Linked DNA regions of Canis lupus familiaris. The protein of the gene in region 1 interacts with the protein of each later gene in a biochemical or structural test. Links are inferred from orthologs where the notes say so. Each region holds a gene or a part of one and is shown on either strand. Other genes may lie near its edges. The genes, in order: PPP2R1B and PPP2R2A.

Region 1 (4,358 bases):
TGAGAGCCATACTGTAGGGAGAAAATTGAGTTCTGTTTTAGGCATGTTAAATTTGAAATGCCTGTTTGACATACAAGTGAGAAAATCAATCACTGCTAGGAAGATATAAGCAGTATTTATATCCATGGAAAGGTCAGAGGCAGAAATAGAAATCAGAAATCAGCATCATATAGACCGTATTTAAGCCATGAAGCAAACACCACTATTTGGTCCAACTGCTGAATTCCTAGTCATCCTTCAAAACCTAGTTCAGACATCATCTCCCAAGAGGTTTTCTCCTTTCTACTATTTAGGTACCTTCTATGTGCTTCTATCTTTCCATCTAACACTGTACAGTAATTACTTGTTGACACAGAAGGGCAGAGACCTCATTCCATTCACACTGGTGAACACTCTAACATCAGTGCCTGATACAGTAGGCTCTCAGTAAATGTCAGCCACTGTGAACCGAACTCCTCAAATTCAGTCAGTCAGAAGCAAGCCGTAGACTTACAATCAAAGATAAAAAGCTAATGGACATTTCCAGGGAAGCTGACTAGTTCAGTCTGTAGAGCATGTGGTTCTTAATCTTAGGGTTGTGAGTTCAAGCCCCCAGGCTGGGTGTATAAATTACTTAAATAAATAAAAACTTAAAAAAAAAAAAAAAAGAGAGAGAGAAGCTAACATTTCCAGAATCATGACACTATGAGATAAGAATTAAGATCTCCAAATTTAGAGTGGTGAGGGGGAGAACTCCTAAAAACAATCAAACCCTTTTTTCTCCCAAACACTAACAAGTCCACAGAGGCAGAAAAGGAAAAAAAAAAGAAATCTTATGCTCACAGTCAGAAAGAGAAAGGGTTAATTGAGTCCAAAGTGCCTACATTATTGTTTTCTCAATAGCCAATACTGTGACAATCCATAAAAAAAAAAAAAAAAAGTCTGCATTGAAAATGCTGTAGTGGGGTATCCCTGGGTGGCTCAGCAGTTTAGCTCTGCCTTCAGCCCAGGGTGTGATCCTGGAGTCCCGGGATGGAGTCCCACCCACATCAGGCTCCCTGCATGGAGCCTGCTTCTCCCTCTGCCTGTGTCTCTGCCCCCTCTCTCTCTCTTGTCTATCATTAATAAATAAAATCTTTTTTTTTTAATAAAATCTTTTTTTTTTTTTTAAGATTTTTATTTATTCATTCATGAGAGACACACAGAGAGAGGCAGAGACACAGGCAGAGGAGAAGCAGGCTCCACGCAGGGAGCCAGACGTGGGACTCGATCCCGGGACTCCAGGATCATGCCCTGGGCCGCAGGTGGCGCTAAACCGCTGAGCCACCCGGGCTGCCCTTTTTTTAATAAAATCTTAAAAAAAAAAAATGCTGTAGTGTTCCCATCACCACACAATGTATTGTTTATACTGGAGAAGCTCTAGAAGAATGGCAGGCAGAACGTACTTACCAGCAAACAGTGGGCAAAGTCAGGACCTCCCACCAGGCCAGTGAAATTTCCCAGTTGCTCAGCAAGAGCTAACAGTACCTCATCTTCATCATAAATTGTATCTGGAAATGACAACAACCCAATGCTCATCAACAAGGATAGCTGGCCCAAAGCGGGATACTCACACAAAACTATAAACCCTCCATGTCTAACTAGATGGTCCTGTCGATACTAACAGCATTCTGGATCCACTTTACACAATGAGTTAGAAATGGACAATCTTGTATCAATTACCTTCCCCTTAGCTAAACAGTCACTATCTTAATATATCTGGCCACAAGTTTAGTACGTTAGAGCATGTGTAACAGATTCTAAAAAGAGTCCAAGGACTGAAAGCCATTGGAAAATGGAAATGGCCATGCCTTTTCTTCAAACAAAACATTCCCATACCCGTAAGGAATGGCAGCAGTTCTGTTCGCGTCCTTTCGACTCCAAGCGCTAGAGCAATTGTTGATAACTTCTTAATACTGTTGAGACGGAGCTGTGAGAAGAAGACAGCGGAAAGCATGAAGCGCACAGCTGTGATTTGGACCAAAGGATGAAAAGTGACAAACAAGTGAGATAACGACATGCTCAGTGACAACGAGGAAAACCCTCCACTGAGATCTTATTCTATGAGGAACCTCGGGAGCAGCGCAACACAGCTTCACTTTAGCCAGAGGAAGGTTTCTCAAGAGCAACCCTCAAAGGGCCCCTCAGAAAAAGGAAAAAGAGCACGACATCCAGGAAGTGAGACAACTTCCACACACCCTGCGGCGCGGCGGGGAAGCAGGTGAAACGGCTGGATACGACCCTTGCCTTCCCAGAAAGAGCGAACACACCGACTCCCCTCGGTTAACAAGCCGCCTCACTCTTTCCGCCCAGCAAGCCAGGCCGGTTTCCAGGCCGAGGGGAAGGCTCCATCCACCCGCAGCTCGGCCGCGCCGCCCTCCGCCCGCCCGGCCGCGACGCGCGTTCCCCTCGCACCGCCCGGAAGGGGCGCCCGGCGGGAAGCCGGGGCTCGCACAACCGCCGGGATCGCGGGGACGCCTCAGGCGCCGAGAGGAGGGGGGCTGGCGACGTCCAGAGGAACGCCGGGCCGAGTCAGCGCAGCTCCTCGGGGCTCTTTACCTTCCTCCCCATCAAATTTCTGCTCCGAGTCGGGCTCTTCCAGTCCCCCGGCCTCCCCCACCGCGGAGCCGACCTTCCTCCTTCCCCACCACACGCCCGGCCGGGCCCGCCTCCACTCCCCGGCCCCATTCCAGTACCTGCACGTCCTCATTGCGGAGCTCGTCGATTAAAACCGCGATCGGGTATAGCGAATCGTCTCCATCTCCTCCCGCTGCCCCCGGGCCGGTCCCGGGCCCCGCTGCGCCCGCCATGTTCTTTCTCCTCAGGCTGGTCGCCGCCGCCCGCCCCGCGCCCAGGCCCCGCCCCCGCCCCGCGCCCAGGCCCCGCCCCCGCCCCGCGCCCAGGCCCCGCCCCCGCCCCGCGCCCAGGCCCCGCCCCGCGCCCAGGCCCGCGCTGCCGAGGCCGGCGCTCCCACCCGGCGGAGGCGGGGCGGCTGAGCCTCTACCCGGCTGGCGGAGGTCCCCGCGCGGACCCGGCTGCGGGAGCTGCACGTTTGAACTCCAGAACAAGGGTGGGCTGAGAAAGCGAATGGAGCCCCCGCATCCCTTACGCACCCGAAAGAAACAGGGGCAGGAATTCATTCTGCTCATGATGGGCCGAGGGGGTCAGGGACCTACCTGAGTGATGCGAACTGTGCTCCTGGGACTCTGGCGGACCAAAGAGGATGCCCAAGGCCAGGAGGAAAACAAATTTAGCGCCTCCCCTGACTTCATCCTGGCCCTGAGCCACCGGGTTTCCAGGCCAATTTCCCCCGCTAGCCTCAAGCTTCCCCAGAACCCCCACCCCCACCCCCCACCTCTTCCTCTGGCCTGGGAGCCAGAATTGTATCTGGCTTCTGCTCCGTAAGACAAATAACGCGGGCGGTGAGAGAAAATGAACACTGCTGTCCAAACTCCCCAGTCAATATTTTTTCCGCTTTTTCCATGCAAGCTGTTAAAAACATGCTGCTCTCTTGTTTTTGTGTTTCTTTTCAGTTTGGTACTGGAATGGTGCCTTCTGTTGTTTTTTCTTCCTCCCTCTTTTAGGTCTTTAGCATGCTACAAGCACAACAATCAAGCAAAACTAGGACAAGCTTTAATCCTTCCAAATTGGGTGGAGTGGCTACTTTGCTTGTACGAGAAAGGCTAAACTGGCCTCCCTAGAACTCTAGAGTCCTCAAAGGCACCAGGAGGAGGAGGTGAGGGGCCTGGAGTTCTTTCAAAACTTAATGGAAAGTTTTCCTTTACCCTTCTGAGGCAGCACAGAACAACTAGAATGGCCCCTCTTTTTTTGTTTTGGGACTATAATTTAAGCAGTTTATACTGATAAACTACATAGTGATCACAAGCTCCAAAAGTAATTGTAGATCTAATTAATAAACATTATTAATAAACGCAATTCAGGAGACATTTTAAACATGGCATTCATAGGAAAAAAAAAAAAAAAACAATAGATAGAACCTTTGGTAGGTGTGAAAGTTTGGGAACCACTGGACCTGAACAGTAGCTCTCAAATTAAGTCTGTGGATGTTTTCTGTATGGCTTCAGTTTGGTTTTCATTTTGGTAATAATTTTTAGATTTATATAAGCATATTCTGGACTATATGGATGATCACTTTATAACCAGTATTGCCATACTATTTCAAGACTCAGGTTTGCATGTGTGTGCTTTTACCCTTTTAGGATAAAGAAAAAAGAACAGAAGTGGATTTAAAATGAAAATGGTGTTTTCATGCACAAAATGAAAGCCACATGACATCATGGAAATGCACTGTCGCAGCATTTCCAAGAGTGAGAAAACAG
Region 2 (3,815 bases), on another chromosome or scaffold:
TAGTGTTTTAGGAAGAAAATTAATTTTTTTTAAATCACGAAGAACTGAATAAACAGATTTTTAAAAATATGCTACACTTTAAAAAAATTTTATGTGATAAAATTTGTCACTTAAGAGGTTTAAAAAACTTAATAGCATAAACACAGGATAGAAAAGTACTATACAATTTCAGTGCAATGCTTGGAAACAAGGCATGTCAGAAATAAAATATTTTAATAATTAGGACAAATTTTTAAAAAGTCAAAATTAAGCTCTATAGTAGTGATTTAATTAACTGTAGTTTTTGGCCAACTAGAAGTATGTGACAATAATCAAACTCCATAGAACTACATGCAAAATTATGTAAATATATGTATTTTTCTGTAAGAGTATTATTGGATTCCTTAAAGAAATCTGTCATTTCCAAAAGGTTAAGAGTGCTCTATGGTGTTTCCCTACATTGTCAATACTAATGAGTAAAGAGTATTCCAGAAGTCCAAAAGTCCCAGTGTTTCTCTCACCATAAAGAGAGAGTAGGACAGGGAAAACCATCTACCAAGTTTCCTTGTGGGAATGAATGTAGCTTTGTTATTAAAAAACTTATTAACAGCTGTTAAAACACAAGGTATTTACTGGTAAACTCTGTATTACTCATATATTCAAGATCCACGGTCAATAGGTTAGAGGTGGACATTTTGCAATGTGGAAGAATTGTGGAAAACTCTGAGAAAGCAAAAGGAGATGAAAGAGAATAAAGTTACGTGAAGATAAATTAAATGAACCAAAATTGTAAGGAGGCCACTGTGAAGTTCTGTGAATAAAAATGACCTGGGAAACACTGGACGGTTGATGATGACCATGGGAAATCCATATAAGACCAAAGTGAGATTATTTTTAGTCAATCAAAGGTGGGGGATGTTTCATGCTATTTTCCACCACCTCCCTTTAGGAGTTCATCTTTTATGAGCCAAAAGGACTGTTACATGTAGGGGAAGAGGAATTGTTATTCTCAATCTTACAGAGGCAAACATACCAGATAATATAAAGTTATGACTTAGATTTAAGAGATACTGACATTCTCCCATTATTTTCTTTCTTTGTAAACAATAAAGCTCTCCAGATATAGCTTAAGTTCTATTCCTTCCATCCTTTTCCCATCCCACCACATCCAGACACAACAGTCTGTAAAATTCCCACTTGTATCATTCTTGTACAGTGGGTTCTGTTTTTTATCACAAAAAAATAATGTAGCCCCAAATAATTGTATTTTATTTAGTGCTCATTAACAGTAACAACAAAAGACAGAAACCTACAATGCACTGTGTAGTGCCCTTTAAAATAATTTGTATTATTAATCAATGACTTAAAAATTCACATGGTATATCTATTTGGGAGACACTGTTGATTGTCTATAGAAAATACTACACAGGATAGGATCACATACCTAAGACCCAACGACTAGAATTCCCAGGGCCTCTCCCTCTACTGAGCGTTTGTAGAATTTACTGTCTAGAAAGGCTCATCTGGTTACACACATGCAAGTATGAACAGAGAAGTGAGGGGTAATTAAGATTTAATCCATAAATGAATCGAAATGGGATTTGTTCCCAAACAATACTGAGGAGGGAAAGCAGAAGTACCTGAACAAACAACTGGCTTCGAACTGAGAAGTGCTAAAGCTGGATGATGGGTACATAGGACTTTCTTATTCTAGTTCAGCCTTTATTTTAAACATTTCCCATTATTAAAAAGAAAAATACTTTATCCTGTAAGAAGTGAACTGCCAAAATTACTAAGAACAAATATCCCAATACGTGAATTATGTATGTCCCAACACATCTGCTTGGGGCATTTATCATCATCATCATCATCATCATCATCATCATCATCATCATATATATCACATTTACTACCCATAACAATACTATTACATTATTACCATCATCAGTTTGCTGATGAGGAAAATTTGACTTGTGTTATAATGTGCCAAAGGCAACTAAACCAAGATGTGGCACAAATGGTACCTGATCTAAAATCCAGTGGTAAAGTCCTCTTTTTTCACTACAGAGTGTGTATATACCAAGTGAATATGGACACCTGAGATCTTTTTCATAGAATTTAAAAACTAAAAGAAAAAAGGGAAGACAAAGAAGAATTTACACATCATGTATAGGGAAGACGTCTATTTCCAAGTGTCTATTTGTAGAACTCTCTGAACATCTATTCCTCTTTGTAAAAGTTAAGTATTGTACAGGATATATGTACACACACATATATAAAAGGCATATAAAAGGAAAAAAATTTAACACTTACCATTGGTAGACAATAAAAACTGAGCAGCATTTTTCTGGGGTAACCACCTAATTTTGTTGATCTTTTCTTCTATTTCTAAACTTTTCAAGTAGTCAAACTCTGGTTCATGGCTCTGAAAGGTGCTGTAAACATTATATTCTCCTCTGCTATGAGACTGGATTTTGTTCTAAAATGGAAACAAAAATATTTGGACCATTGTTGAGAAATATTTCAAAACATAAACATGCAATCAATTCCAACAGACCTTGCAAATTCTGGTTAATTAATTACCTGCATCTTAAATACAACTATAGTGGTTTTTTTTTTTTTAAATATTTAAGGCCTTTAGGAATAAATAAAACAGCTCCTCACAAAAAATGGAAAAGCTTAATAAAAAGCCTGAGCCCAATTCAATAGGAAAATGACATTAAAATATTGATCAATCTGATTACTAATTTATCATTATATAATAAATAGTAGAGGACTACTAGTAAAAAAAAAAATCTAAGCACCCTTAATGAGGGCGCTCACCTTTTTAAAAAGGGAAAATTAAAATAAAAAATTAAAAGGGAAGAATAAATAAAAGCTTGTTAGAAAACAGCTGGCTGCGGCACACTTTCTCTGTCCACTGTAGGGTCAACCATAAATCAGTTATTTATTGGATGTATTGTCTTCCTCCTCTTCCTTTCCCATGCCTGTCTCTAGGTCATGTCACTGCTGAAAAACTCTTATTTAAGAACTCCATCAATGTAATAGTATCATCTGACCCCAGCTTCTCCCAAGACCACAGTTACAGAGCTCTGTGACTCATTAAGTTCACATAAAGCATTACCCAGCAAACCTCACCCCACAAACCCATCGACAATTTCTTCCTCTCCTTAAGTTAGCCTTATGAGCCTAGCACACACTGATGATTTATTTCAGTTAGTATCTGGGTAAGTGAATACAGTTTAAACTATTAGCTAAAGCAACTACTTGTCAACTTCTTCAGTTAACACTAGTATCTTCACAAAAGTGAGAATTATAACCATGAGAGAATTTCACCTTTTAACCTATTATCACATGATTAAAAATCTTTCCGTCAAAAACATTAAAAGTCTAGTTCAAAGAAGAACCTATGGAAAAATAGTTTAAAGGAAAGATATTACTGATAGCCAACTATTCAAAAGTAAAAGTGAATTTATCAAATGAAATGTTTAAGATGACTTGATTAAAAGAATGGCTCATTATTGTTCTACATATAAAAGAAAACCTTAGTGAATCATCACCTTAAAAGCTTGTTTTGGGTTGTTTTTGTACAGCAGCTTGGTTATCTGGTTTGGTCATTCATGGTTCCAGTTATATTTGAACCCTCTGATAGCAGTATCAATTATTATTGAGTTTGCCAATATTAAGAATGCAAGGCATACCAAAAAACATAATCCCCACTGGGGATTAAAACCCTAGTCTCGGGATCCCTGGGTGGCGCAGGGGTTTGGCGCCTGCCTTTGGCCCAGGGCTCGATCCTGGAGACCCGGGATCGAATCCCACGTCGGGCTCCCGGT

Evidence for each region.
Region 2: the proteins of PPP2R1B (region 1) and PPP2R2A form a complex in vitro, tested with the Homo sapiens proteins (2 studies listed by BioGRID). The link is inferred for Canis lupus familiaris from reciprocal best matches to the Homo sapiens genes PPP2R1B and PPP2R2A.

What each region holds. Positions count from the first base shown.
Region 1 is NC_049226.1:21,355,938-21,360,295, reverse strand, and holds the start of PPP2R1B (serine/threonine-protein phosphatase 2A 65 kDa regulatory subunit A beta isoform), read right to left. Parts: upstream 2,876-4,358; 5' UTR 2,829-2,875; coding exon 2,715-2,828; intron 1,949-2,714; coding exon 1,858-1,948; intron 1,530-1,857; coding exon 1,429-1,529; intron 1-1,428. UniProt on the Homo sapiens protein: The PR65 subunit of protein phosphatase 2A serves as a scaffolding molecule to coordinate the assembly of the catalytic subunit and a variable regulatory B subunit.
Region 2 is NC_049246.1:31,381,783-31,385,597, forward strand, and holds part of PPP2R2A (serine/threonine-protein phosphatase 2A 55 kDa regulatory subunit B alpha isoform), read right to left. Parts: intron 2,459-3,815; coding exon 2,293-2,458; intron 1-2,292. UniProt on the Homo sapiens protein: Substrate-recognition subunit of protein phosphatase 2A (PP2A) that plays a key role in cell cycle by controlling mitosis entry and exit. Involved in chromosome clustering during late mitosis by mediating dephosphorylation of MKI67.